Linked DNA regions of Drosophila melanogaster. The protein of the gene in region 2 binds, or shares a complex with, the protein of the main gene of each other region. Each region holds a gene or a part of one and is shown on either strand. Other genes may lie near its edges.

Region 1 (14,928 bases), on a different chromosome or scaffold from region 2:
CCACGGCAAACTCTCACTTTTCCGTACTCCGTGTTGCGTCGTCGGCAGTTGCTATTGTTACACTAAATTTGTTTTGCCGCCTGTCGCTGCTTCCTTGGCTTCTGGCTGCCTGATTTGCTTTTGCTTCATGATTTCCTCTGACAGACGAGCTTCGTGAGTCTGTCGGCTCTTTCGCATCCGTCGGTTCCGTCGGTACCGTCGGTTTCCCCTGGAGCTTTCCCTTTTCGCCGGGACGATGTCGGTCGACTGAAGCGTGCCCCTGTGGCGGTCAGGCCTTTTATAGCCCACCCACTAGCCAAGTTGCAGTTGGAGCTGTATTTCCGGCCCACTTAGGACCTACGTGCCTGCGCTTCGACACGCACTTCTCTGTTTGACCATCGTGATCATCATCGGCAGTCAATGCTCTTTGCCACAATTGCCACTTTGTCTCCTTCCGAAACAGTAAAACATTGTCACACAACCGAAGGAGTCATTTTTCTCCCCGTTCATTTCCTTTTATGGGCTCACTCCCCCACATCGATGTACATATATATGTGTGCGGTGTCCTGGGAAAGTATTGTCCTTTGGGTCTTTACCAGGGCTGAATAACACCTAGTAATAGACTGACGACTAGGTTAGTCAGTTATAATAGATATGTGGCTTATACAAATGTTAAAATTTCAAACTTTTAGTTTCCTTTAGATAATTTCTTTCCAATTGTATTCTCTGTATAAAACGCTGTTCTAATTTTCTGAACCATTTCTTACAATTTAGAAATACTCGAGTACTTTGAATGTATATCCCAAGCCCTGAAGTATCGAAAACCGTCTGTCAAATGTATCATTGTAACAGAGTTTTTCGCTTTGGCCGTTTGCCATTTCCCCGATGGAGGAATGGTTTTGTGGCTCTGTGCTTAATGCTTTTCCATTTTCACGCAGTTATATATACAAAAAGATGTACATACACATGTTAGCCTGAATCCTGCACATATTTGATGTGTTGTTTTAAAGCAATTTAAAAGGGATTTCACAGCATCGAACAAAAAGCCTTTGTCCCACTTAAACGAAACGGATTTTAGGGCTAGTCTATTAAATAAACGTTGACAATTTTATGGACAGACCATTATTCGACTAAGAGGACGATAATATGCCCGGCTGAATAAAAGAAGGAGATACTTCTACCACTCAAAAAGCCATCAATTACAGATGCGACAGGCACGCGTTGCATAACTACAAAAATATTATATTTATGTACATTGGGTCCCGAAGAAAATAACTCAATATAATCAAACAAAAACAGCTCTTAACGGAGTAAAAACTAATGACGATGGCCCTCAACACACAAAAGTTCTGATATCAACTTTTGTGACAAAAAATATTTTTTTATTAAACTAAGAAAATACAAGAATATTTTCAAAATTCTTATTTTTATTTTTTTTTAACCATTTTCAAAGTCTTATTATTTGTTCAGTGTAGTTATTTTCAATATTGCACCGGAATTAAGTGTCCAACGTCCAGGCGTTCGAGCTAAGGACACGCAGAGTGACTTAATTTAATTTATATAAGAAAGAGGCGAACGGAGGTTACTGTATGTTTGAATGGGCTTACGATGGTCCGTCGTGGGTTGGAGATGATGGTGTGCAAAGTGACACGCAAACCGCCCATAAAAGTTATTAAAAATGGATTTTCCGAAATGAGGGTTGTCTGCGGGAAATGGCAGGAGTTGGTAATTGAAAAGGCAGGATGGAGGATATTATAAGAACTTGAGCTTATAAAGGGTGTATTCAATAAGAGTCTATTGTCTACATAGATAGCTGGTATTATTAAACAAATTAAGTTTGTCCCAAAACCAGCAGGAAATAGGTATTATTTATACTTTCACAAAAAGTCAGAGGAGCAGAGCTAAATTCTCTTTTATTGCAACAAATTAAGAGAGCCACAGGTGCCGTACAATCAGAACATGGTGCTATAAATAAAGATACATTTAATATTTTTCTATTCCTAGCCCTCGGGACCCTCCAGCAGCCAGTAGGTCTCCATGTCGCCCTTGCCTTTGACCTGGACCGTACCACGCGACTCCACTTTGTAGCCCACTTGGCGCACTTTATCGCCGGTGTACTTCGATAGCTGGATCTTCCAGGGATCACTGCTGCTCTCCATTCGCGAGGCGGTGTTAACGGTGTCCCCAAACAGACAGTATCGAGGAACCTTTTGGCCCACAACGCCAGCCACCACAGGTCCCGAATTGATGCCAACTCGAATAGCCACGTCCCCCATATCGTGAGCCTTGAACTTTTTCATCACCCTTAAGGCCAAATCGCAGGCGTGTTCGGCGTGCAGGGGATTCACATCAGGAGCACCCGAAACAGCCATGTAAACCATGCCCACGGTCTCCACTTTGTAAACGAATGGGGAAATGATCTCCTCATCCAGAGCGGAAAATACTTTGTTCAAAGTGTTCACCGTCTGCATAGCTCCCTGAATGCTGTTCAATCCTTCATCATAGACGTTCATCACCTCGAGGAAGATGACGGACACTTCCTCGAAACTCTGGCAAACCTGTTCTTCGCTGAGTCGCATTCTTTCGGCAATGGGCCGCGGAATCATGGAGTAGAGCAGCTCATCCCCCTGCCGCTTCCAGGAATCTGCCAGCTCCAGCGATTTTTCCAGCTCATCCGATCGCTGCTCCTCCTTTTCAAACATGATCTCCAGCTTGGAGCAGTGCTGCCATCCCGCCATCACAAGCTCTCTACTCAGTCCATGTGGATTAAGATCGTTCAAATAGAGACCGATTCCATGCAGCTCATCGAGATTTTCGATTAGAGGACTGCACAGGAAGATCAGCGAGTCCACATCTTTGATGTAGAACATCTGTCCCTTCAAAAGGATGGACCTCAAGCCCTGGGAAGATCGACGTTCCCCAGTGGCAGGGTCGATCTCATCCTCTCTCGCAGATTCATCATCATCCACCGGATGGGATTCACTGAACTCCTGAGCCTTGGCCAGCGCCATAGTTTGGGCTTCGTTTAAGTCCATCTCGTCATAGTTCTCAAAGTCCATGTTTAAGACAGCATCGTAGGCAGCGCGATTGTGACCCGTGCGAATCAACTCGAACTCAAAGAGCACGGCTCTCATCTGGATCAGGGTATCCCAGTCGATAGTGGTGTCTTTCGGACGACGGCATTGGAACAAGTCCATTACGTGGGTGCCAATGAAGCTCTTTGGATTGGCCCCTGGATTGTGCATAATCCAGGTCTCAACGATCTTCTCACCAGCATGCGTGATCTTCATGTCGTGGTTCAGCACAAATGTGAAGGGAAAAAGATCGAGGAACACATCCAGTTTCACGGTGGGCATTTTGAGCTGTGAGGGATGGGCCTCCGTATTGACGCGCTTGGCCATGTACTCCCGGTTATCAAAGTCCAGACGATACTTCACAATCACGGTCAAGGGACCATCCGTGAGCTTGATGGGACCAGCAGTGCCTCCACTGATGTCATTCTGGCTCTCGATCACGTAAGCCTTGATCTCCAGGCCGTAAAACTCGCGGGCCACCTCGGTCATCTGCCCAATTAGGTACTTGGACATTCCAGTGCGACTGCTTCTGTATAGGATCACAGCTCCGTTATCATCCATATTGGTCAACTGCATGCTGGGCGACTTCATCTTGGGATAGGTGAAACGCATAATCAAGTGAATGTTGTCGATGGACTGCAGGAAGTCGCAGAAGTATCGCCCGGTGGAGCGGATCATCTTGTCGTAGCCGAAGTTGCTGAAGAATCGCACAAAACAGCGCCCGAAGAAGTTCATGCAGAAGTCGAAGGACTCGCCCGTGCAGGCGGACAAAGCCTCGGCGATATCCGGCATCAGCTTGTCCGGATAGATCTGGTGCGTCTTGAAGCTATTGTGCTTGCAGTCGATGATGTGACACACCTTCCGCCAAATGTCCACGCCATACTCCTCCTGCACGTAGTGCTGCACACTCTCATACAGCATTCCATACATGGTTTATGTTTCTGAAAAAATGGAAAACAATGGACGATTAAATGTATAACAAGAAAACATGATAAAACAATAAAAACAACGAGATACATTGTCTCAATTTATTGTTCGATTGTTCCTTTATAAGAAGTTATATATTATAAGAAATTATATATTATAAGAAGTTATAAGAAGTGTCTATCAGAATTAATTTACCATCTGCATATAAAATAAATTTAACCTTTTTTTTTGAGTATATTACATATAAAATTTAAACAAATTAAAAACATGACTTTAAAAGAATCTCTCTTAGTAGTTCAATTTATTCCACTTCTCAACACTTTTCTTTAAATTTCACTTGCTTTGCTCAACAGGTCCCCGTGGTTAAGTTTCACTTTAAAGTCTCCGTTTAATATTCAATCGCCGCCTTGTAAGTTTTTAAATTTCCTTAATCGCGTTGCTTGTGATTCACTTTAAATATGCACTATTACTCTGCTAACTTATTTACAACTTGAAATTTACAACTGAAAATTCAATAGATTCCCACACAATATGAAGGAGCACATATGCTGGCTAAAGTTCCCAAGGCACTAAACGCACGTATAGCACTCGGAGAATAGGTTTTCCATTGCTATTACTTTGATTTTTATTGGACGAAAGCGCACGAGGAGGATGCTGTAGATGCTGGAATGACGTCCCTCGGCTTGGACTGTATGTGTGTATCGCGAATGGGAAGCTTTCTAACTGGCATCCAGGAAGCTTTCTAACTGGCATCCAGGACGCGAATGAAGCGCCTGTCGTTCGTCGCTGGGACTTTTATAGCACCTCGGCAATCGTTGTAGACTCATCCTTCCCATTCGCCAAGCGGAGGGTCTAACCCCCTTTGGCAGTGTTACATTTCATGTCAATGCTCCTTGTTGATGCCAATTGACGGTTACTTTTCGATATAATGTCTGAAAATGAAAGTTTTATTGCCTTACCACCAATAACTTACACGCACAAACGCAGTCCTCGTTGGTTTTGTCACGTAAATCTTTATAAAGGTTCTCGTTTGCTTACTCCAAGTGCGTTAATATTTCTTGTTATTTTGTTTATCTCCCTTTTTGATGTGGCATTTTTGGACTTGTTATGCGCCACAATTTACATTTACATTTAAGAGGATTTAAAAATTCCACAGAATAAATCCTGCACAAGCACACAAATGTTGACATTTTAATGGGCATTCCTTGCAGGAGTGATGATAACGGTTAAACAGGACTTGTATTTGCCTTGGCGCCCCCTCCCCCCTTTTTTTTTTTTGATACTTCACAGCGGCCATAAACGTGACAGCGTATTTAATTAGCGCCCTTCGCAAGCGGCCCCCTTCCTGTCCCTTCAAATTGATTGGGCCACGTGCTGGAAGGGCGTTGACATCTCACTTGTAGCTCTCGCTCCCAGGAGCAGACAGTAGACTACGGGTCTGTCAGGGAAACCCTAGAGCCCATCGGCAAACACGCAATCGGGGAATACAAGTTGTAAAATAAACCAAACGATGAAAATAATGAAACCATTTGATTGATGAGAGGGACGCATTCGCGGCTTGGCTTGTATAGCTAACCAGGCTGTGTAATATTTACTTTAAAAATCCCGAAGCAATTAGGGAATGTTTCAGTCGGTGGGCTTCAGTTGTTGCTTTGAGACCGGCTCGGGTTACATAATTCTAGACCAATTGATTTACCCAAGCATCACATTTTCGACAATGTTTTATCGCCATGTCCAATTATTTTATATTCTATAAATGTCAAATGCAGAAGCGTTTTTTATTTAACAATAAAAAGGTTTGTTTATCTGAAAGAATATAATAAATGGTGGATCGGCTGTTTTTCGTCCAGGCGAATAAAAGTTTCAACTTTTACTATGCCTTCCGTCGTCTAATACATAAATAACGAAAACAGTTTCTCTACAAAAAAGAACCCATTTTAAAAGTAAAAGCGTTTGAGATTTTTTTCATCAGCCTATGAGGCGGTTTTATAATTTCCTTTTTCTTTTGGATAAGCTTGACTTACTTAAATATTTCCCAGGGAAATGAAAAGAAAATTCACAATGCATTTTAAAATTCATTGCGAATTTTAGTGTTGAACTATTTGCCCAGTCCGACCTTGTTGAAAAGTTTGTCCTTAACAATCTGAGCCATCAAGCCGTGTATCAGTTCAATGGTGGAGCGGCTGCAGTCTCGGGTGGCCTTGGACAGCTTATCCTCCGAACGCTTCTCATTGACATCGGTTCCTGTGGATAATAAAGCGGGTAAATTATTTGCACAATTCCTAAATCGACCCATTATGTACCGCGACCTAAAAAGTTCTCACTCTGCTCCAGCTTCTCGGAGAGATCCATGATCTGACCGGTGGTGTACTCTGTGTTGGTGAGCAGACCCGAGCTGCCCAGTGTGTTTACCCAGTATTTGTTCCACAGAGAGTCGAGGAGCCTGCGGTCCAGAGCAGACTTGAAGTAGCTAATTTCCAAGGGATAGTACTGCTTGCAGTGGACTCCAAAGTCTTCGATCTTATTCAGCGGGATGGTCTGATACTCCGAGGGCTCCTCGTTTGGTGGCTTATAACCTTTTGGATACGTGCGGAATGCACCCAGACACACCTTGCCAGCGGAAACAGTGCGCACCGGATCAACCACAATGGCCACGAATGGCTCCTGGTATGTCTGGTTGAGCATCTGGGTGGACACATCGATGCCGGACAACCAGCAACCGTAACCGGGATGGCTGTGATACCAGCCCACGGCGTGTTCCATGCGTCCCACCTCTTTGGCCGCTTCCATGTAGGCGGTCATGTACTCGTACGCTTGTGCCTGGGCATTGACGCGGGTTTCAGTGCCCTCCACTGGCAGTGCAAATGCATCCATGACAATCTGCACGGGAATGACTTATAAATTGAGGACCTTTTTTACATTCAATAACTCACCATTGTGTTGTCCTCTACCTTGCCAAGCATTAGACCCATCACCTCCAAAGTACCGCCAGAGCGAGCGTGCATCACCATCTTTAGGAGCGCCAGAGCCGAGATCTTAATGTCCTTAAAGAAGTGGGGATCTTTCTCCCAGGGCTTCGCATCGATGATCTGCCGCTGCTGTTCGGCGTCGTAGCGAAAGATCTCGTCACAACTGGGCAACGTCTGGATGTTGTTCTCCAGCTCCCAGGTCTTTTGTGCGGCGTCGGAGTCCATTGTGATTGTACTTATGCCGAAAATTGTAGTCTTTTGTTGCAAGTTTTTGTTTTCCGGCTCAATTCTAGAGATGAACTTGTCGGTACCATCTGTACAATCAATTTCATGAAGGTACAATCGATATTTTTTATAAATCGATTATTATAAGTTAAGAAATTAAAATATTGATTAAAAAATTTAAAATTTATCTATATTAACAATTTATTTGTTTAATAAATAAAATGTATTTTTAATCGTTAATTTTTTACCAAGGAAAGTTTTTTAATTTAATTTTTCTGTTTACGATACGCACTCTAATTTGCAGCATTTTTGACTAAAAAAAACTTAAAACCTTATTTCATAGTGACAAAATGATTCATCGCAGTATCTGTAATCTGTATCTTTCTTTTCACTTCTTGAGATTAACCATTATTAATAATCACATAATATAAACCACTTTTAATTCAAGTAAGTTGTCAGTTCCTGCACCCCGAATTTTAAATGTAACGCATAAGCCGGCGCATTAAAAGCAGGTTGGCAGGGCTTGCGCGTCCATTGCAAAAAAATTCCTGCACAGAGTTTTCGCTACAATTAACTTTGGCAAGCTCGTGATGTGGGCCGTAAAAACAGTGTCTGGTGGAAAAGTGTGAAAGAAATCAGTGAATAGTTTGTGGGTGTTTTGTGTACGTGCATTTACCGTATTATTCCCAATAGCTTTGCGGCTTTTCAAAGTGCTCGCTTCGGTATTCGTTTTCCCCGCACCCAAGCCGCATTTGCGACGCCGCTTGGAAAATGTCGCTGGATGGCGGTAGGTTGCGCTACGAAGACGAAAATGGTAAAACCGTGGTTCTGGCAGCCAAAGGGCGCACCTTCCAGGTGGGCTCCTACTACAATTGCGACCTCATCCTGGAGGGGCCAGAGGAGGAGCGTCTAATTTGCGAAATAAACTGCGATGCCTTCGGCAGGGTGAGTCTGGATGGCAGGAATCCCCCTTAACCGCCCTAACATACTGCTTCTTCCGCCCTTAGGTCATCATATACAACAAGTCCAGCGGAGACCCCATTCATCTCAACGACGTGGCCATCCACGCTGCAGGCAAGCGTCCTTTGCTACACGGTGGCAAGATTACCATTCGAGACAAGGTCTACACGTGGGAGTTCCCCAAGACCTCCGAGGTGCAGGATGCCCCATGCACCCCAGAACGCCTATTGCCCAACGAACAGGCCTCAAACTCCTGCCCTTCATTGAAGGTAATAGCCGCCATCTGTTCCAGATAGTACAGTATTCCAAGTCCTACAATTTCCCCATTTTTATTTGATTTAGCAATCGCATCGTCTACAAGCCGAAAAACGCCTGACAGTTCACAAGTAAGTGAAAACAGCAGGCAGACCCCTAACCGACTACCTGGCCAACCCCTAAAATGTCTTTGGGCAACAACAATAGGAAAAAGTCCCTACTGCAAGCATGTGTTGTCTGCCTGTTAATAGTCCTCATAAAACCTTATCTCTGCTTATACCTTTTCAGTTTTCACTACAGCATCAATTCGGACGACGAAGGAAATACTTCTATAGAGTCTCGTGATCAGAGTGAGTCTCACTTGGAGGATGTCTCACTGAATGAATCAATTCAGCGCAGCACAGAGGAGACAGCTTACGAGTCCCCCAAAGTAAATCTTCTGGAGGCTACGCAGAATAAGGAGAATACCGCAACGCCACCAGGTAGCCACCAAAAGCTACTAAGGCTGTGCGCCATCTCCGACGTGGTTATTACCTCTTATTCGCCGCGCGAGACTGGCGTGAAGATCGAGAAATCCTTTTCATGTGTTCGAAAACCTGGCTACACCACGACGTCTTTGGCTGTTTCCACGCCCAAGAGCGTATACAGCACCCCCAAGGGCAATGTGCTCTCTGAACTAAACGAAGACAGCTGCAGCCGAGATCTAATGGACTTTAGCACGCCATCCACCTCAAAAAAAACCAAGCGGGATTCGTCCATGTTCCTGATCGACCTGACCACCCCATCAAAGCTACGACAAACACCCAAACAGACGCTTGGATTCAAGCTCACACCCAAACAGACGCCTATCAGTGTAGACAGCACCGACGAATCATCAGATGCATCCCCATTAGTCATAGACATAACTAACTCTGACACCCCGCCATCAGCAAGCCCTTCGCAACGGTATAAAACTCCTAAGCGTCCGGCTGGAATCACCACACCCAATAGAACGCCCCAGTCACTGATGAAACGAGCGTTGCTTACCAGCATTAAAAAGCAGATCGCCTCCAACCAACCAGATAAGACCACCCCCATAGCCACCCCCAAGCGGACATCTCTTCTGGAGGCTCGTCGCCACTGCCTGACTACGCCTCGGCGTTTGCCATTCCATCCACATCGTCGTACGCCAGTCCAGCGAGAAGGACATACGAGAGGAAACGCACCCAAGACCTCGCCACGCAAGCGTATATCCCTAATGGAGTCTCCCAGAGAGAACAAGGTCTCCCAGCTCAGAAAATCGTTTGCGGCTGCCAAGCGTAGTCCCGGCGTTGACAAGAGCAACAAGCTCGTAGCCAAGGCACGTCGTTCGCTTAACTCGCCGAAAAGTGGCTCCCCTAAGCCTGGATCATCTAAACCGTCATCTCCATGTCAAAAAAAAATCGATGTGTCCCAGATCAAGAGCTCCACTCCGGAAGAACCGGACGATTCAAAGGACGAGCTGAGCCGCACGTTCACTATACTGCATGATACTACCCAAGGAAACGATCAGAGTGGCGCAGCATTGGCAATCGAAGCGGTTACAGCTCTCATAACTGGGGAAGTAGACGATGATGTATCCTTTCAGCTAAGCTCGCTAATTGAAAAGAGGCTTCCGTCAGTGACCTCAGAAGAGCCTGCACCTATCCAAGACAAAGTTGAGTCGATCGGGTCAGAATCTGATGTGGTAGGCGAGTTAAAATATGCACAGGAAGATATGAATCCTAAGCCAGATGCGGTCATACTCGACCAGAATGAACGTGACGAAAATGAATTGAAAACCGGCAAAAATGAAGACGAATGTAAAGAAAAAGACTGTGAACTTCCAATCGACAAACAACTTGAGGATGCTGTTATTGAGGATAACATTTGCGAAGAGGTTCATGCGAATATTCCTCAACAAACTAAGAATTGTAAGTACCTATAATATGAAATAAATATTATGAAATCTTATGTTCCAAAACCGTAACAGCTAATTCTGAGAAAATAATCGAGGAAAGTATTTGCGAAGAGCTGCCATTGGAGAGTACTACTGGTAATTCAAATTCAACTGGTAAGCGATTTAAATTTGAAAATTCCCAAAATACATTTTTATTTTATTGCGACAGGAGGGATATCTCAAAAAGAGAACCAACCAACTCCAAGTGCAGAAACCCCCGTGGCTCGCAGAAGCTTGCGCCGTCATTCTGTTGAGCAGAGGGCAGTGTCAACAACGCCACGGAGAAGCACTCGGCGATCCTCGATGGAGGCCAGCAGTAAGGCATTACCTGAGAAGGACAACAAGCGTTCTCGTCGTGCATCCTGTTCAGCAATGGACAGCCAAGTCGCTGTTACTCCCCGGCGCAAGCGGCAATTTACGCAAGAAATGTCCACGCCAACGCGCCAATCATTGCGTATTAAGAACACACCCAATAGGGAACTTCAGGTGGATGAATCTGTGGGCGATATGGGAGTCATATTGGAAGAAGTTGGTTCCGAAGATGGTAAGTTGAGTCAATATCATTTATGAAATGGAATGGAAATATAATGGCTTATTTGATTTAAATTATATTTTTTACAGATAGCAAATCTTTCATCGCTGACGACGAAAATTATGGCAACGAGCTGCCAAATGATGATATTGACAAGGTAGATTTCCACGGCCTCAGAGATTTATTGAAAACACCAAAAAGCTGCAGCACACCCCGCTTTAAAGGGCTAAGGGAACTGATGCGCACTCCGAAAATTCCTGCCTCACCAATTATAGGAAACATGGCAGAACTATTAGAAACCTCTGTTGGTAGGACTCCTTACCACGATAGAAGAAGCACTGCACTAGCTCGCATGGAGCAAGGAAAGCCTCTGGACAATGTTCTGAAGACGCCCAGCGCCCGGAATATCATGGTGCCAAATGAACCAGCTAGCACAGTGTTAAAGTCTCGCAAAGATTTTCTGGGGGCAACCACGGAATACGATCTGAATGTGACGAACAACACATTGCATTTGGACAAGATTTTCGAGGACATGTCCGAAACGACTGGGGCCAATATGGAAGACACGGAAGAAATTAATGTGACAACGATCAGCACAGCGACTGGAGTTGATCCTTTGGATTCAATAAATCAGAATAAAACAGTGGCATCAGAGGCACTGATGAATGTTGGGCATACAGCCACAGCGAGCGCTTCCCTAGAGGATCCTCTGACAAGCACCACCTACAAAGCTACCATGCATGCCAATCCCAATCTTAGCGACTTCAGGTCTGTTTCGCCCAACCCGAACGAGATGAGTGGAATTCAGTTGTTGGACCAGTCGTCGGACTCAATGTTCTCCGAAGCACTAGTAGTTTCGGGCGTGGAGTCGTGCGAAGTCACCGTGGATGAGACGAGGCCTTTAGGCCAGACCAATCCACCTATTGATAACATTGAGGATCGCTCAGATACAGACTCAAATGTTGGCCTTACTGAGCCCTTGGTATTTAGTGATGATGAAGAGGAGCCAAAGAAATCGGAAGGAACTACCAAACAATCTGACAGTGCTCAGGAACCATCTATAGCCTACAAGCTTGAAGAATCTGTCAATCTGACGGAACACAAAACTGTCGATGAGAATTCAAGTAAATATGATGTCGAAACGGGTGCTATCAGTGAAATTTCACTAATTGAAGTGGAAGATACCACAATTGAGGCAAGTACTTGCGAGCAAAATCTCGAAAGCTGCAAACTTCAAGAAGAGAAAAGTGTAGATATCGCTTCAGTTAATTCAGATGAAAATATCGAATCTGCAGTGGTGGAATTGACGATCCTAGAGTCAGAGATATTTCCTTTAGACACAACAGCGGATAGTTCGATCAATTCTACTAATGTCCTCGACAGTAGTGTGGAAAAAACTATACCTGACCGAAATCTCAAAGGTGGCAAACTTCAAGAAGAGAAAAGTTTAGATATCGCATCAGTTAATTCAGATGAAAATATTGAATCTGCAGTGGAATTGACGATCCTAGAGTCAGAGATATTTCCTTTAGACACAACAGTGGATAGTTCGATCAATTCTACTAATGTCCTTGACAGTAGTGTGGAAAAAACTATACCTGAACATAATCTTAATCAAGAAGATGCCAAGGCCACAAACGATGCCCAAGACACTTCAGTTACAGATGAAAAATCCTCTACTGACTTATATCGTTCAGTTGGCGAAGTATTACCATCCAATAAAAGTGATTTGCATACTGATGAACCACCAATCGTAATATCCTCTTCTAAAGAACTGGCAAAAGAGGCGAAATCTGGTGATGGTAACCCCATCGACAACGACAACTCCAAACCATATATTGAGCGCTCTGAAGAACTTTCCGAAGAAACCAAACCAGATAAGGTTTCGAGTGCTGCAGAATCGGATCGACCAGTCACAGAAACTTCGCCGACTCCAAAAGCCCCTGGCGCAGAGTCTAAGCAACCGTTGACTGAATCACATTCCGATGAACTTGTAAAAGAAACCAACTCCAATGAGGTTTCCGTTGATGGGGAACTCATTCAACCAGCCATTGAGACTTTGCCTTTTGTGGAACAAAAACAAGAACCTGATGTTTCTACTGATGCGGAATCTAATCAACATTGCATCGAAAGTTCGCCTCTCAACGAACTTTCAGAGAATATCCAACGTGAGGAGGTACACACTTTAGATAATACTAAACAAGAAGTAAAACCGTATCCCGTCATGGAAGTTTTAAAGGAAACAAAAACTGATGAATCTATCCAATCCGTCACCAATACGTATCCAACCGAGGAACTTCAAGAAGAAGCTAAAGCTGATGAGTTGCCTACTGTTAGTGAAATGGTTCAAGCATTCAAAGAGACGAAAACAGATGATACTATTAAACCAATCATCGAAACATCGCCTGAAAGAGAACCCTTAGAAGAGGCACATCCTGATGAGTTGCCTTCTTCTAGTGAAAAGGATCAAGTAATTGTCGAAACACCATCTGCTGAAACTAGGCCAACCATCGAAACTTCTTGTGACGAACCACTATCAACAGCAGGAACTGATATAGTGCCTGATTTAAGTCAAATTGATCAACTAATTTTTGAAAAATCACCAGCCGAAGAACCGCATGAGAAAGCAAAACCTGATGAGACTACCCAGGAAGTCATCGAAACATCACACGCGGAGAAAGATCCAATAGAAGCCAGTCCTAAAGAGGATTCATCTGTTAGTAAAATGGATAATGCAGTTGTGGAAACTAATCCTCAAACAGATAAGCTAATTCCTCCGGATGAAATTACAAATTGCGGGCCGGTAGATATATGCATCGATGAGTTCTCTTTAAGAAATTCTAGTTCAGCATTTGAGATCGAACACTCAGAAGAAGTCGCGACGACTTCTTTAGACTTAGATCTTTCCGAGATAAGTAAAGAAAAGGGAAATATGGAAGCTTTGCCGAATGACAACGCTTGTGTTAAGCACATAGCGTGCGATCTTGCTAATGTAAGCTCATTAGAAGAACCAACGAATTTATCTCCCAAGACTCGTCTACGTGGGACATCAATGTCACAAGATGAGGCCGCTCAAGTTGATGAACAGAATGAAAACGATCACGTCGAAGAACACGTCGCAATGGAGGTATCATCAAATGAAATCGCTGCTCATAAAGAGAGTGATGAGAAATTTGAAGACATAGATGAGGATGCCTTGAGCGGAGTTAAACAAAGTTCACTGGAAGAAAATGCACTAATTCATCAATCTCTAACGGACCAGAATAAAGAGGTTTCTATTATGGAAGAATCCGAAGCTGTTGTTTTAGAGGAACCTAAGGACAGCCAACCAAATCAGGATTTCAAAGCAGAGGTGATTCGCTTAGACGCCTCCATCATTGTTGAGAAAGATACACTAGATGAAAGTACATCAGTTGGAGAGGATAAAGATCAATCCACAGAAATTTCTATGCTTAAAGAACAATCTAATGCCGACCAAATAAAAGATGTTAGCTCGATGGACAAAAAAGAATTCACAGAATGTATACCCAAAAAGGATTCTGACGAAAAGGACAATGACGATAAAGTTATTCAATTAGATGCCTCGAGCTTAGATGAAAGTTACACAGAAGCATCTGTCTTAGTCGAAAAACATTCAGATATGGAGGTGAACACAAAGGAAACGGAGAATCGCAATCAAAATCATTCTGACGATGAGGTGATTTCGTTAGATTCCTCAAGCATTGCTGAGGAATGTCCTCTAAACAAAGATTCAATAATTGAAGATCCTAACGATGATTCCATTATAGAGGGTATCGTAATAGAAGACAATGATGTAAAAGAATGTGTGTCTGAAGAGTCATCTAACCAAAATGAAGTCACTGAACCACCAAATCATATTTCAATTATATCTGAAGAGCCATCCGAAAAAGAAATCTGCCCTAAGATATCAACTTTAAACGCTGCAAACTCTTCACCACGCCAAGTGGAATCACAAAAAATGTACGAACAAATAAATCAGGTAGAAACCGCGGTATTAAAAAATTCATCAAGTCCCAATGGGGAATTACC
Region 2 (16,392 bases):
GCTAACGCACTTGGGCAGTTGACTCCTGCAGCAGATAATTAAATTTGCACCACCTAAGTTCCATAAAGTGAGAGAGTTTGAGGGAATCTATAGAACCTTTTTTATTCTGCAATTATTAGACCTGCTAAGTCCGTTCTTATACTAATATTAAACTTAAATCTAGCCAGATACTCTGCAATATCGTGCAACATTTCCAGCATGGCCTTTATCTTTATTCAGATAATGTTCAACAAATATGATAATGAATCGAGACTTATGTGCGATAAAGCAAACCCAAAATACTAACGATATTGTTATTCATATCTTTGGCAGGAACAAGTCAAACTGGATGCCAGTAGACAGGTAATCAGCCCCGACGACTGCGAAGATCTCAGCCCGATGCCACAAACAGCTGCTCCACCGGTTCGCAGGCGAGGCGGAATCTCCGCCGAACCCGTAACCGAAGAGGATGCCACCAACTATGTTAAGAAGGTGGTGCCCAAGGACTACAAGACGATGAATGCCCTGTCCAAGGCGATTGCCAAGAACGTCCTGTTCGCTCACTTGGACGAGAGCGAGAGATCCGACATATTTGATGCCATGTTCCCTGTGAATCACATCGCCGGCGAGAATATCATCCAGCAGGGCGATGAAGGCGACAACTTCTACGTGATTGATGTGGGAGAGGTCGATGTAAGTATATTTATTTTTCTTGCTATGACCTTTGAATTGGGTTTGCATCATTATGAATATGTTCACATCTTCGCCAGGTTTTCGTCAACTCCGAACTAGTGACCACCATCAGCGAGGGCGGCAGCTTTGGTGAACTGGCCCTCATCTATGGCACTCCTCGCGCCGCCACCGTGCGCGCCAAAACCGATGTGAAGCTGTGGGGAATCGACCGCGACTCCTACCGCCGCATTCTGATGGGCTCGACCATCCGCAAGCGCAAGATGTACGAGGAGTTCTTATCGCGCGTGTCCATTCTGGAGAGCTTGGACAAATGGGAGCGCCTCACAGTGGCCGATTCCCTGGAGACGTGCTCCTTCGATGACGGTGAGACGATTGTCAAGCAGGGAGCAGCTGGCGATGACTTCTACATCATCCTCGAGGGCTGTGCGGTGGTGCTGCAGCAGCGTTCTGAGGTGAGTGACCGCGATCAGACACCATGGGACACCTAAAAAGAGACACTCTAATCAACTCGTTTATCTAATCAGCAGGGCGAGGATCCCGCCGAGGTGGGCCGTCTGGGTAGCAGCGATTACTTTGGCGAGATTGCTCTGCTTTTGGACCGACCACGTGCAGCGACTGTTGTAGCTCGTGGGCCGCTCAAATGCGTCAAACTGGACCGGGCGAGGTAAGTGCAGTGGCTTGAGTGCTAAGACAAATAGGCAGGTGTATGTTAATGACCTTAAGCAATTATAAAATCAATTGTCTCCAGTAACTTCTCCAGTAGCTAACCTGTAAATTTTTTTTGGCTTTGTTGCAGATTTGAACGCGTGTTGGGACCCTGCGCCGACATACTCAAACGCAACATCACGCAATACAACAGTTTCGTATCGTTGTCCGTTTAAGACCGCAACAACGACAACAACCACTACAGCAGATAAACAACAAAGAGCAGCAGCAGCAAAGAAAGCAACTACAACCGACAAAACAAACAGAAACAACAACGCAGCGAACGTGAGAAACCAACAGGAAGACGATGGGAACTAGTTGGATAGATATATAGATAAGAAAAACAAACGCTCAGCAGCATAAACATGAAGTCGTAACTTATATAAGTGTGTAAAATTAATTGTCACAGCCATTTGATTCTCGATTCTGTCGGAGATTCAGATTCAGATTCAGAGAGCACGCGGGCTGAGGGCTAAACAAATATTAATTATCCGATTCTGTATGTTGTGCTGAAGTTATATAATTGTGTATGTGTGTGTCTCTGTGCAAAGGTTGCGTCGGCATGTTCCACACCCCGCGACCCCCGATATCGGAGATAGCTTTCCCCGGATACATCTATATACTTCTCTCAACTTCTTTTAAATTCTCCGGGTCTTTCGAAAAAGAGAGCCCATTTGTATAATCTATGGGACATGCTGCCTCCTCAAAAACGTTTCATTAAATATCCAACAGACATCTGAATGTTTTTAAAAAAAGAAATAAACAAGATGAATATATGTGTAATAACTTAAATCATAAAAGGCTACACACACAGGCACAAAACACAGACACACCAACTCACACACTCTCATACGAGGCATGAAGTCATGGAAATGATAGGACTTGAATGAAACAATGGTATTTTGCTTGTATGATTCGTTGTTTTTTGTCTAGAACAAAAGCACAACGGCAGCAATTAATTAACCATTTTAATTTTAATTTTAGTAAATTATTCTTACAAGTAAACGCGTACCACGTGAAGTCAGCGAGCGTAAACTTTTCAATTAAACATTAAAATCAGTGAAAACTTCATGATTTTTTAACATGTTTCTTGTTTCTTCATCGAAAGGTGTTTTGTAATCTTAACATAGTTTTATGATTTTTTATTAACTAATTTAAGCTTGAGCACAGCGAATGCCTAGTTTAACTGTTATCAAAGAGGTATTTCCGTTCTTCAAAAATGTACATATGTCAAGTTTAGAAAGTTGTTTTATTTTCTTATATTGTAAGACTGTAATTTTGGAGTTTTGGGCTTTAAAAAAAAGCCATACAATACTTTTTAATCACGTTATGATAGTTGAAAATTTAAAATTAAAATTGATTGATTATACACATTTCTTGGAATACCTCTAAAGTTTCAAAACTAATGTACTAGGCATTTCCCAAAACTGCCAGCTAACGAGAAGATAACTGCAACAATTTATATCGGATAGCATGGGTTTGCCTGTGTGTTGGGTGAGTGTGCGTGTGTATCTGTGTGAACTAATGAATATTGCCCAAACGAGAAGTTGCATTTACAACACTCAGAAAAAAACGCAGCCAACAAGAACATTTGTGTGTATATATTTATAAAGCTTATATCTGCTCGATAGATCATGAAACATTATCTACAGCTGTTGCTACATCACACGCGCACACACTCATCCACCTCCTCTCAAACATGAAGTCATAACTGGAAAATGCGATTTTGAAATGCACACATACTGAGATAAAGCTAAAATTTTGACATTTTTACAGACCAGAAGCTTAAATCGAAAATATCTGTGCTAATATTTCAGCTATGAGACACTGTTAGAAAATGAGCAAAATGCAAAATGCTAAAGGTTGAGCCTATGTAGAACATTTGTAAGGGGTCTGCGCCGTGTGCAGGCCACGCCCATTTGGGCGTAGATGGAACCCGCCGGCGGGTCAGAAACGAAAATAAAAGGCAAAATCGTTTTGAGGTCACGGAAAAATCAACTTTAAGCCGACGTGCAGGCAGTGGAGGCAAGGAGATCGAGTGGAATACAATTAAATTACAAGCATAATATTATCAATGTAAAATCGTATGTAAAAAACAAGGCAGAAATCCATAAAAAAATTGACAACAAACAAACAACAAAAAATAAACAATAAAAAAATACAGAAACTACGAAATAAATACATTTACATAGATGTTGCAAAAACCAAGAGATTCGAAGATCCTCCCATGGATTCCCGTAACCCTCTCTGTAGATTTGCGTATTCTGTCAGTGAGTTAGCACTTCCGGATCAGCGACCCCATGTTTCTGGACGCCATCTTCTTTATACCGACACTGTTCACTTACCTGCTTATCGGACTGCTCATCGTCATCCTGTGCTTCGTGGTGGTCTATATCAGCCACAAGATCTATGTCTCCGTCTACGACAACCTGCCTCTGGCCGCCTTGCCCGGCAACTCACGGCAACAGCTCCTGGGACTGCGTCACTCCAATCATGCGATGACCATACGGGAATACCTGGACAGCTCGCTCCGCAGCCCACGTTCCAATCAGCCGAGCTTACGGTCAGTTTGGATTCAGAACCGGTCACAGATCCTGGAGACCTCTTCGGGTAAGATCAGTGCCAGTGAGACAGTTGCTCGGCCTACTCTTCCTCCCGGACTCTCTTCCTCTAGTGATGCGTATAGTGCTCTCCCTGGAGCCCTGCTACCTGGTCAGCGCCGAGTTCGATGTTAGTTCCAGCCGGAAGGCCATCAGTTTCTTGTGCAACTGCCGGGATCAGCCCGTGTGTGCTGCCTCTGAACCGAGGCCTTCTGGGTCCTTGCATATAGTGCGGTTCTATGACCACCTCTCCAAGATCCCGCGCCTCAAAGTCATGCTCAAGTGTAACCAAAGGCGGCCGGACCCGAGGCCGGACAGTCGTATCCAGTTGACCCTCGACGACGTGATCCAGGAGGCCAGAGATAACCAGGATGCCAGGTGTACGGATAACGCCGCCGCCTGCCGACCTGGTTCCTCAAGGCGGAACTCCCGGATACCGGATTAAAGGATAGGGGGGTATACGTCGTCTGTTCTGGGCTGCTTGGTCGCGGTATAACTAGTTTTATTAAATTGTATACAAAGATCAATGAGCTGGAGGCTCCAGGGTCGACGGCTGGTTCAGTGGGTCGGGCACTGAGCTCACGCTAGTTTACGATAATCGCGTGACAACGAAGGTGAAAGCCAGCGGAACAGAGGCGCACACATGTGTGTTCTTATAGGGGGTGTTAATTAAGCTTCCTTTTTTGGGTAAATATATTTACCAGCTACTCGATCTAGGAAATTTAAATTTTCAGCCCTATTTTCCCATTAATAAATTCCATAACAATTTCGATTTTCCATTCCCTATGTATAAACTGAATTCCGCATTTAATGACCTATTTAAGAAAACAAAACATACTTTGAATTCTTTCAACGCTGAACAAATCAAAAGTTTACAGCTCGTTAGGTAATTTTCCACATACAGAAGTTTGTCACGTTACATTAATATGTTTGGTGTTTGATTTAAAAAAGGCTGAGTGGGGAGTCTTCAAAAATATATTTATAGGACTATAAGGTGATACTTTAATATAAGCTCCAAGTTTAATTTCTAACAATTGGATTTTCCTACTCCCATGGCACGCAACCTTAACTTGTGGGGTTCGCGGGTCTTTGGGTCTTATCATTGTGACTGTGAAATTCGTTATCAGTAGATAAAAAGCTTTTCAGGCCGAGTCGATAGCCTGGCTATCATGCCTAATTGCCGAAATCACTACCCCCAACCAGATCTCGCCACCTCCACGAGACGAGGGACCCCAAGCATTTGTTTGACGCCATTTCATTCTTTATTGACGCGGCCAATTAAGAAGGCAGCGTTGTTGATTTGATTGCGAGGCGAATATGAATGCGACTGGAATTCCTCCATGAGTTCTAAATAAAGCTGGAGTCCGAAAAGTTGCCAGATGTAAAGAGCGGCGGCTCTCAGTCGCTGGGAACTCCAAGAAGTGGAGGCGATTTTCTAATCTTGGCCCAAGTTACAGACTCTATTGCACAAGGGGCTTATCAGAACCAAGCCAAAAACTTAAAACTGGACGCACAACATACAGCAAGATCTACAGCGGCAACAGTCTGGCAACGAAGCGTATACGTAATGCCAAGCAAAGTTCCATCCATTTAACGCTCTCGGCTCGTTTCAGTTCTCGGGCAGGTGTCAAGCGACGTACACACGAAACGCCGACGCGGTCACAATTCCAGAATATCATATACATGCTATATATGTGTATGCTCAAGTGGCTAATTTACATACGCGTTGCGACCCGTCTATTTACCTGAACCTGAGCTGTCTGGACTACACTCTTTAACATTTCCTTACGGAAAGCGAGTGTACAAAGTCACAACAAATTTTCAAGACATATTCTCGGTATATATATATTTCTGTATTCAAACATATCGCCATGCTGGACCCCATTTCGGACGCACCGCTGGTCTTGGCCTACGTCTTTATGTCGCTGCTGGTGCTCATTGTGTGCTTCATACTGGTCAATGTGGTCCACAAGCTGTATCGCAGTCTCAACGGCGAGGTATCAACGGGGCTGGTTTCTCCGGCACAGCAGCTGAAGACCTCCATCATGGAGCTAGACGCCATGAAGACCGGTTAGGATGGGTGCAGCGCAGCTGGCTATGAGAGGCGCGAGAATCTCAAGTCTCAGTCTCCGATGTCAGAGCTCCGGTTTTAATTCGGGCGATTGGAGCGATGTACGACGAACGACAGCTGCTGACCACCCACACGCACGAACCACACAACCTAGACGCCTGTTGATATGTTAAGCTATGCAACTAGACTAGACGTAAATAAATACACGAAACTAGGCTTACGAGTAGAAATTAACTACATTAAACGCGCTGGTCCTCTAGTCACTTAATTGTTTGTTTTTGCCCTAAGGTTAGGTTACATGTACATTGATATTGTAAATAAAATAACGTGAACGATAACTGAACTGCAATTAAGGTAGATTGGGGGCAAGTACAAAGCACTTAACCGATCCGTCCAGACAGTAAAACGTCGCCTGATCGAACGATGCGTAGAAAAGGCACAACAGCCTTATCGTTGCAGTATCGAGACGTATAATTTGTGAGTCAATCAAATGCGTGATAAGGATCCCTGACTTAGTCATAGATTTATACATAGTTTATTTAAAATAGCATGTTCATCTTTAAATTTGCAATAAGAGCGCAGTTTGTTGTTGTGGTAGCTGAATGAGTACGGACTGCAAGAGACGTCAGCTTTCGGGCCCAGGGCCTCGCGGCTTCGACAAGTTCTGGTAAACGGTGTTGGGGATTGGATGAGCGTAGAAATGATAGCAGCAGGCTGCTGGTGGTTCTGTGGCAGTGGTATCATCAATCTGTGGGATCACTGTAACAAAGGAAACATTACTAACAATTCTCGGTTCGTTTTTATTCCAAATCTCACCCCGAGAAAGTCTTTGGGTGCTGCGACGTTAGGTCATCATCCTGGCTGCCAAGAGCCTTTTTCACATACTGCCAAATGGAATTTAAACAAATAACATATAACCAATAACCTCACAATAGAACCTACCATTGGATTTAAAATGATCTCCTCCTCCATTTTGTTGATCTGCCTAACTTGATCCAGAACGTGTGTTATATTATTTTGCACGTTGAGGAACATCTCCGGTGAGTTGTATTTCTCTGGGTCGTCTTTGAACAACACCATACCGTCCTTTTGATTGATGCTGGCATATATTTCACCCGATTTTATCTGCAATTAGGTATTATCTCGGTATAAATAAAAAACGAAAAAAGAAGACAACTTCTTACCATGTTGAGAATGTAACGCTCTGCTTCGACTGCGCTGGCAAGTTGGACACGACTGGCCACATCGCTCAGGGAAAGGGTCAAGAAGGTTTTAGTGAGCCGCTGGATGTTTCGCTTGTACAAGGAGGTAGCCACCTAAGGGGATACCCAATATTAAAGTTTCATAGTTAGATGGTTCTGCCAGTTATCTTATTAAAAAACTGTGTTGTTTAGAATACAGAAAAATCTAAATTTAATTTCCACCGGAAATAATTTTATGTTTATATTATGTTTATACTTCCGCATAAATTTAATTATTTTTTTTTTATTTGAAACGGTGAGTAATTAAAAGTTCAATTTGTAGCACTGTTCAACCTTGAAAAGAATTGGGTGTTTTTAATTTTTTTTTCGAATACCGTCTTACTTTTTACATACGGAAGCCACAGATTAGAAAAGAACCAGGAATGACCCTTAAATACTTGCCTGCTTGGCCAGTCCCATATTGTTATCACGCGTAAATGCTTCACTGTACTTGAGTATGATAATGCGCAGCTCTTCGCTAGACGAATTCGCGTACACATTGACCAGGTCGTGGTAGTGATTGGCCATCGGCTTCATAAAACGACCAATGACCTGTGTGTTTTTTGGTATATACGCTATCTGCAACCGACACAAGATTTTCCGATTGAGAGACTGATATATAAACGGAACTAAATTGTTGTCCAGCTTACCTTGCCTTCGACGATGAGTGAAACCATGAGAAATTTTTTGTAGGCCTCCAGCATGATGTGCGACATGGCCATTGCCGGAGTGGTGATGCAGACTTCGAAGAAGTACAACGCACGCTCGTAGTTCTTCACCGCCGTGTAGATCATGCCGCCGTAGTAGAAGTACAGCAAGAAGTACTTGGCATCGTTGTTGGCATCCTAAAAAATTAATCTATGAGTTCTAGTAGCCCAGAAGTTCATTTTCAACCGTGAATACCGCGTGCTGGGACTGCTGCTGCTGTTGCGTCTTGCACTCGGCTGCCACGGTGGAGATGTCCGTGATGTCCGCGTCCAGATACGGCAGCACCACACTGAAGTTTTTCGCCTTCAGGCTGAGCAGGCAGAGATCGGCGTGTATGGGAGTTAACTGGGTTTCCAACTGTCGAATCTGGTCGATGGCGCGCGAAATGATGCGTATGCCCAGGATGCTGAGGTTCTTTTGCACCACAAACTCGGTAAACAGATGGCATGTTTCGTAAACTGAATGGGATATGTGATTACTTTTAGGGTACTTTTGGAACAGAAGATTCATGTCTCACAGGCGCACACCGCATAGCGCAGCTGCTCGTTATTGTTGCGCTGCACAAAGTCCCGCATCAGCTGGATAAGTTGTACCGGCTCCGGATTCGCGGTGGACGCACTGTGCAGTTTGGCCAGGAGCACATAGAGCACGCCCAGCGAGTGCTGCTGCATGTCTAGCGTCTCCAGCACGTTGTCCAGAATGCTCCAGTTGCGGGCTAGCAGCGACAGCGACTCCGGCAGCTCCTCGGCCAGCTCCCGATAGCTTCCTGTGATGAAAAGCCAGCCAGCAAAGTTAGTTGCGAATCGCTTTAATATCAAAACAAAGGCGGCAACGAGCCCGGTTTCTTGAGGATCGTTCTTCGCCGGTCGGCCAACTTACCGGACGCACTCAGTGTGCGCACTTGATTCACATAGTTTTCCAGCGCGCTGCCCATTTTAGGTAACTCCGAGACTACTTTTTGGCCTATTAACTTGCAAAACTGCGAAAAATAATTTCGCGAAATAACAAATGACTGCCGACGGATTAGAGCTGGGAATAAAACGATGAATATTCGGTGCTGTCGATTTCTTATCGATTAGTGGCCTAAAGACAGCGTTGTTCTACACTGGCTCTGTAATAACGCGCCATCTATAACTTATAACACTATCACTCAGCTGGAAAAATTTAGAACAGGCACACAAAAATTAAAGGATTAAGACACTTGATGCTCTTCTTTGTACTCTATACTATATAAATTTAATTCGCGCACTTACCATTAGAATCAGCGTTATGCCATGTTTATAATTTAATTTATGAAATTTTAAGAAAATTATTCTAAAACAACTAGTTCAAATTTCGATTAGAATCAGCGTTATGCCATGTTTATAATTTAGTTTATGAAATTTTAAGAAAATTATTCTAAAACAACTATTTCAAATTTCGATAGTGCAGCCGCGATAGTGCTCACTATTTTCGATAACACTTTGTTGCTGTTATTGAATTGCTGTTAATATCCCAATACGAAATGTAACTAATATAAAATGGAAAATTCTGCGCGAATCGTATATGTGTGCAGTCTCTGCCTTCGTCAATATGATCTCCAGGAGGATCTTCGAGGACATCTCGTCTACTTTCACGGCTATGAGCCCATCTCAACGCCCAGTGTCAAAAACAAAACTGCGAAGACTTCAACTAAGGAACAAACTGCAGCCGGCAGCAACAGCCAGGATAAGCAAACCGTTGTGGAGCGATCGGAGAACTCGGAACCCCCGGCAAGTGAACTGCAGCCCATGCCTTTCAAGGACTTTCGGCTGGTGCTAAGGGCCAACATGTTAGAGCCGTATGTATGTCCATATTATTACCATAAGCTTCTGACAAACTCGTTTGTTAAAGGTGCTCCTTTGGAAAGGAATGCCCCTTCAAGTTCCAAGATGCTACCAAAATGGAGCTCCACTGTAGTTGCCATAAGGGTGGCAGTTTTTCCTGCTGCGAATGTGGCATGGAACTGCCCAACTGGCGGCGGTGCTCGGCTCACCTGTGGAAAGCCCACCAGGTGGATGTGGACCTACTAGTGTGTCCCGTTTTCGAATGCAACTACAAGTCGCCCATATCCGCTCTCGTGTGGCGCCACATGCAGGTTCACAAAAAGTGGCGACCCAGGGTGCTCCGGTCACTGGCTGCCGTTCAGCGGAGAAGAAAGCTCAAGGAACAGTCCGCAGAGATGGCCGCGCAACCTGCTGCTCTGCCACCATCGTCAAAGAAAAACAAATACTATGCCGAGAAGACTTGCGAGATTTGCAATCGCAAGTTTGTCAACGGTAAAACGCTCTCTAAACACGTGAAGACTGTTCACAACAAAATCAAGCCATTTATCTGCAATGTGTGTGGCAAAAAGACGGCTCGCAAGGCTAGCTTAATAGTGAGTTCAGATAGCACTTTACGATCTTCTTGCTACCTAATACTCTTTCCAGATTCACATGCGTCAGCACACGGGCGAGAAGCCGCTGCAATGTGGCGAATGCAAGTTCTCCACTCGCGATCCCAGTGTCCTGCACAAGCATCGGCAGCGTCATGATAGCCAGGACACAAGGAGCAGCCTGAAATGTAGTCAGTGCGACTACTTCTGCATCCAAGCCAATGCTCTTAAGCGCCACATGCGGCTCAATCATGCCGAAGCCTATAGGGACTTGTGCTGTGATATCTGCAGCTTCACCTCAATTAATGTAGAACGACTACGAGCCCACAAACAGGATCATCGACAGGGCTTGATCACAAATTGTGAGGATTCTATGGATGCACGTGCCGCTGGCTTCAAGTATCCTCGAAAAGTGGGCGACAAGAACGGGGAGGTATGTCCCCTGATCTTCTCATCATCTTTTATCATTTGTATAAGCTACAGTTTATTTTGCAGATTTCAGCTGACTGTTTTATGCCGTTGGAGAGCGTGGATTCATTGCCCCATGAACCAGCTCTGGATACGGGTGGTGTAACCATACCAGCTCCTCCATCTGAAGATACTCAATTTCCCACGTACTTAAAGGACTAAAATTATAACATTTTAAGTTGATAGATTAGGGGTAAGCGTTGAGTTGATTCACTTCCCATTTTTTATTGATTACTTTGTTTTTATGTCCTATGTATTTATGTACAATTCAATTTGTTGAATATGGCGTGTCCAATGCGCTGTAAAGAGTTTTGTATAAAATAATGTTCTCATGCAGTTTGTTTTGGGGATTTAAATGCTTGTTTATTAAGTTGTTCAGTTTTCCATTTAAATTTAATATCATTTTAGAATCTGATATGATTTTTTTGTTCAACATTCGAATTATTTAGTCATGCTGGTTTACCGTGTTCCGTTTAATTATCAGTTACGCTTTACTTTAAACTAATTTAAAATTTAAAAATCTACTCTGCCAGCGATAATCATCCGGTTTCAGTTCGGTTTCAAGATCAGCGCCGTTAAATCTAGTTTACGACAGAAATGTTTTCATTTGGGCAGTTCACTAATAACTTGTGTAAGTTGCTAATATTTAATTTGATTTAATTAGTTCAGTAGTTGAGCTTTACTTTGGTTTAATATATATTTCTTTTCGTTCGCATTTAATCAGCTACAGGACTTCGCAGACCAAGTGATCTGGAGAATCCAAAAGTTATGCAACTCCTGTCCACTTGTTTGCTATAGTAATGAAAATAAGTTACTACCGAGTTACAAAATAGATTTAAACGTTTATTGTCTGAGTTTGAATCGAATATCAAAACATATTCACTATTTGAGAGTGCAACTGAGTAGTACAGCAAAATGGAAAATAAAACACTCAATATAAAATTGTTAATATCATACAGCTTCTATTTGTTTTATTTACAGTTCTTGAAAAGGAAGAAGAGTTTAAACAAAAATATAATTTCGACTGATTCACACTCTGTTGTGTTGTATTTTCCGAGTCCCTGATCCCTGCTCCCTCCTTTTTGGCCAGGCCGTGCTTTTTGCTTTGCTTTCGATCCCCGAGCCTTAGATCTTGGTTTCAACGACGGGTTTTTTCTTCGACACAAAAGGGATGTTCAAAGAGAGAATACAAAATAGAAAATGATTCGATTAAGTCAGCTGCCATTGAGCCCAGAGCCAACATACGAGGATAACCATGCAAAGTTTGGTGTGGTTTTGATTTTGATTTGATTTGATTTTGATCTGATTTGGTTTGGTTTGGTTTAGTGGTGAGGGAGCAGGCGCTAGATGGTGTGGCATGAAGCGAACTGTGCACTTTGGAGACAACAACATTAACAACAATGGGCGTGAGTTCTGAATGACTTCGATTCGACTGGGTTTTTTGAGTACTTTGAATACGACGAGATACCTATAAATTGTTGCCTTGATTTAGCTTTGATTATGCTGATATTATCCATGATCACTACAACGTCTATTAAACAACTAACGAATTCATCTAGCTTGTATGTATATTGACATATTCGACTAACCACTGCGTCCCTCTGGCGACTAAATTACGTTTACGATGCATCCATCAATCTTAAAATGTAAAACATGTTCCACTTACGATCTACTCTGGGAATGGTCGATTAATCATCTCCCTTCCGTCAGCTTACTCCTTTGGATTTTTACTATTTTTGTTTTGTTTTTGATTTTATTACTTGTTTGTTTTGTGCGCCGCATAATAAATGCTGTGTGAGTTTCTTAAACGTTCTCCAAAAAAACTAACTCTTTCCCATCTAAACTCGTGATGATGATCATCACTTGTCTGTCGGTTTCGATTAGCATAGTACGATACACTTAAAGGCTATTAGGAAACAGTTGTATCTACATAGGTTTATGAGTACTCTGTAAGAACCAAGGACACGAACGTAGTGGAAGTTATAACTGGTCAGATCTGTCCGATTTCTGGTCCTCGTCGTCCTGTGCTAAGCAATCGTTAGTATGTACAGTGTGTTGGTTTTTGTGGGTCGAGTTTGGGAAATCATATCGAAAATACATACGAAAAACCCTAGGCCTAGAAAATTGCTTATAAAATTGCGCGACACTAAAAACCAGGGGAACACTTTGTCATCTGAGTCTTTTGATCTATAAAATAGAGATTAATACAAATAGAACCAACAAAATCCTGCGATCTGTAGCGGATACGCTCTCATATAAATGCAGTTTAAAAAACAGGTGAGCGATTTTGATTCTGGTTGTTCGGCTTTGATTTCGAAAAAGGGTTGCATTTTTTCTTCTCATCGTTTCATTGTTGCGTTTCGCATTCGCGTCAGTTGAAATTGTGGTTTCTGTTTCTTGGTTGACTTGTGGTGGCGATACTGGTGTCTGTTCCGGGGCACAATTCTGCACGTTACTGGCCGTCGAGCATCAGACCGTGGTCACACGATCGATCTCCACGTAACGTACAGAATTGTCGCTTTGTCAGCAAATCACCTCCTTTTCATCCAGAACGGCCGTGTCCATCGAGCTCAGCGATTTGAGTCGCGTCTGCAGCACCGAGGAGCCGCGCAGCTTGCGTTTGATTTTCCTATTTCGAGTGTGGTAATGTAATAAATTATAGAATTAGTGGACATGTACTGTAATAGATGACATACTTGTAGGCAAAGGCAGCGAAAGCACAACACGAGAGCACAAAGATGAGGCAGAGCGTGGCCAGGATCTCGGCGGGCAGTTTCATCAAGGCTGAACACTGCAGGAAGGTCTCATCGTCCCCGGAAGGACAGTGGACTACACCATCACACCAAACACTGGCATTTACACAGGCACCCAATTCGGCACACTTAAACTGGCAGTCCTCTGCGAGATTGGATCCATAAGAAGACCATTTGAATCAAGATCATCTATTATGCTTACCCGCCATGCTCAGTGTGGGCCTGGGAATCAGTTCCATCCAGTTGAAGGAGTACTCCCCGTTGCCAGGACGCAGGAACTCGACGCTGATGGCTCGGGATCGATTGACAAGCGCAAAATTTGGCCTTTCGTTCCATCCGGAACTAAAGATCTCCACAAACTCGTAGGCATTCGAGTCGGGACTCAGTGGACAAGCCACAATGGTTAGGCCTAAATGAAGTACAGATTGTAGAGCTGGCACAATAATGGAACATCCTATAGCCTACCCTCCGACGTGGTTAGTACAGCTCTGGACTTGGTCTCACATCTCCAAGTATCTGTCTGCACATAGGTCGCGTTCAGTGTCTGCGTGGGATTGTGTTTACTCAAGAAAATGGCCTTCAGGCGGACGTACAAAAACTTGTTGCCATTAGAAGGCTCAATGAGCCAGGGTCTTGAGCGGCACTCCACCTGATTACAAAAATTTTAAATCTCATTTGTGCCTCCTAAAGCTTACGGATCTACATACGTCTCCGAAGGTCATGTCTATAGTGCCACTTGGTCCGAATTTCCTGCGTCCATCCTTGCAGCTTGTTGGAGCCTTGACGAACTCAAACATACCCTCGAAGTTAACCGTATCTGGATCGTCCAAGGTGGTCATGTTTTGGGCGATGAAGTGCACCTCCACATCGCGACTTGTAGACGTGTATTCCACCGGTAGGTGGGATTGGTTAGAGGAGTTGCACATGCAGCCTCGATGAAGTAAAATGGAATCATGGTAGGGTCGCTCAAAGATCTAAAGTAAAACGTAATATTAAGTAAAATTGGAAAGCTTAAAGGTGGTTATACCTACCTCAATTCTGACATTGGTATCGCCATAGCAAAAGGAGCGATTGATATCCTCATCCACACGTGAATAGCACGGTCTGTTGGTGGTCGTTACTTTTCTCATCTTGATTCTGACCCTTTCGCCTCGCTGTGCCTCGAATTTATAGATGCATTTAAGGTTTCTAGTTCCTCCTCTTCCAAATAGGAATATGTTGCGGACACTGCGGAAGATGGCAGGATCCTTGCGATCCATCATGCTGCTAAGGAACTTCCGATTGCAATCGTGTTCCCCACCACCCCAAGGCAAACCATCCTGGTGCAAATCAATGAACTCGTACTTCAGCTTGAAATCCAGTGGTCTAAAAAAAACGGTTACCAGGGATTTGGACAAGTACTTCAAAAGAAACCCCACCTTAATACTGTGGATTCCGTGTTGCGTAGCTCGAGCGTAATGGCATCGCTGGTGGACACATAGCTCTCCGAGATGGTGCATGGTCTTGCGTAGGTCTCGTTTATGTTAGATCTATCACAGGTGCGTGGTATTGTGCCCCGACAAAATCTGGCAATCACACTAGTGGAGTTATGGGTGTAGTGACCCAAGGTGTTATAACTACTCGTCTCGGTGGCACTATAAAAATTTGAAATTAGTGTGTCTTCCTTTGTGTATAAGATGAATCACCTACCAGTTCAAGTCCTTGCAAACGGGTGCATCCCTTAGTGTTCCATCCCAGATGCGCAGCATTCCACTGCAATCCTCCTGCGTTTGCAGCACTCCAATTGCGCCCACGGATGTCTCATCTATCTGGCCAAACTCCGGATCCAAGTTGAACTTCAGAACAGAAATCCACACCTTGAACCGGGAGAGCGGTTGATGCATCCCCGACTGACTGCTCGTCCTGCGCGACAAACTCAGGTGGTCAAAGGTCTTGAAGACGCCCAGCCCTTGGAGGTGATACAGGCACGTGGAATTGGGAGCCAGCGAGTGCTTGGGACTCTCGAGGATGCCACGACCTGCACCGCGAATCCAAAACTCGCAGGGTTTCTTGTTTTTCGAGTACGTGGGACTCTGGATGTCCACGAATTGAACTTCGACCTGCGAAGGGGAAAAACAAAGTCAAGCATTTTCCCCAGAAGAGTGCCTTGCCATTTGGCGACCGGTGACCCACTCACCTCTAGCTGGAATCCGTAGAGCGGCAGTACCTGCGACGAGGTGCCGGTGAAGGTGCCAAACGGCGACGTGCTGAACTCGACCAAAAGCTCCGGACCGCTGGAAACGGCCGCCGGCACCGCCTGACCACCGCCGCAGAACTTCAATATGATGGGGTCACGTGTGGTGTAGCCGTCGTACACGGTCACGTAGTCCTGCGGGTAGCGAAAGGACAACGAGAGACAAGAGGAGAACGAGAAAGAGAGCAGGGCGAAAAAGAAGGAGAACAGAGTGGGTGAGGAGAGAGCGAAATGAGTGAGTCGGCGACAAATGTGGGTGGTGCTTGTTGTTTTCACCATGTGGGTGGCACTAACTAACTACACAGTGAAGAACACTATCTAAATTATATTAAACGGGAAATTGTTTGTTTAACAACGGCAGATCCTATTTAAGTTTATATAGTTTAATGGTAGATATCATCTGAAAAGGAGCTGTTTTAATATTGCAAAGGTGATCAGTGTGACGCATAAGGGTGATATTTGTTTTTCTAAGTGTAGTGATTGAAGTTAAAGGCCGAGTGTGGCTAAAAAGCGGGCGATATGGTGGGGTGGGGTCGGGTCGAACTG

What was found.
Region 1: CSN3 (region 2) and CSN5 share a complex: the UniProt entries of both Drosophila melanogaster proteins name them as parts of the CSN complex.

What each region holds. Positions count from the first base shown.
Region 1 is NT_033777.3:16,462,425-16,477,352, reverse strand, and holds CSN5 (COP9 signalosome subunit 5), read right to left. Parts: upstream 7,255-14,928; 5' UTR 7,175-7,254; coding exon 6,914-7,174; intron 6,861-6,913; coding exon 6,284-6,860; intron 6,225-6,283; coding exon 6,079-6,224; 3' UTR 5,947-6,078; downstream 1-5,946. Other genes in the region: Gyc89Da (guanylyl cyclase at 89Da), read right to left, coding at 1,980-3,983; CG42232 (uncharacterized protein), read left to right, coding at 7,946-8,119, 8,182-8,403, 8,477-8,520, 8,678-10,320, 10,380-10,460, 10,516-10,890, 10,968-14,928. UniProt on the Drosophila melanogaster protein: Probable protease subunit of the COP9 signalosome complex (CSN), a complex involved in various cellular and developmental processes.
Region 2 is NT_037436.4:20,832,534-20,848,925, forward strand, and holds CSN3 (COP9 signalosome subunit 3), read right to left. Parts: upstream 9,044-16,392; 5' UTR 8,932-9,043; coding exon 8,877-8,931; intron 8,764-8,876; coding exon 8,515-8,763; intron 8,456-8,514; coding exon 8,193-8,455; intron 8,135-8,192; coding exon 7,940-8,134; intron 7,869-7,939; coding exon 7,692-7,868; intron 7,365-7,691; coding exon 7,233-7,364; intron 7,174-7,232; coding exon 6,991-7,173; intron 6,933-6,990; coding exon 6,865-6,932; intron 6,808-6,864; coding exon 6,792-6,807; 3' UTR 6,563-6,791; downstream 1-6,562. Other genes in the region: Pka-R1 (protein kinase, cAMP-dependent, regulatory subunit type 1), read left to right, coding at 313-672, 750-1,124, 1,197-1,336, 1,469-1,553; CG3288 (uncharacterized protein), read left to right, coding at 3,678-3,987, 4,052-4,422; CG13255 (uncharacterized protein), read left to right, coding at 5,849-6,052; CG11456 (uncharacterized protein), read left to right, coding at 9,518-9,816, 9,870-10,395, 10,448-10,825, 10,888-11,022; CG32432 (uncharacterized protein), read right to left, coding at 11,986-12,015, 13,396-13,489, 13,557-13,758, 13,816-14,022, 14,079-14,262, 14,321-14,587, 14,645-14,978, 15,032-15,247 and 2 more. UniProt on the Drosophila melanogaster protein: Component of the COP9 signalosome complex (CSN), a complex involved in various cellular and developmental processes.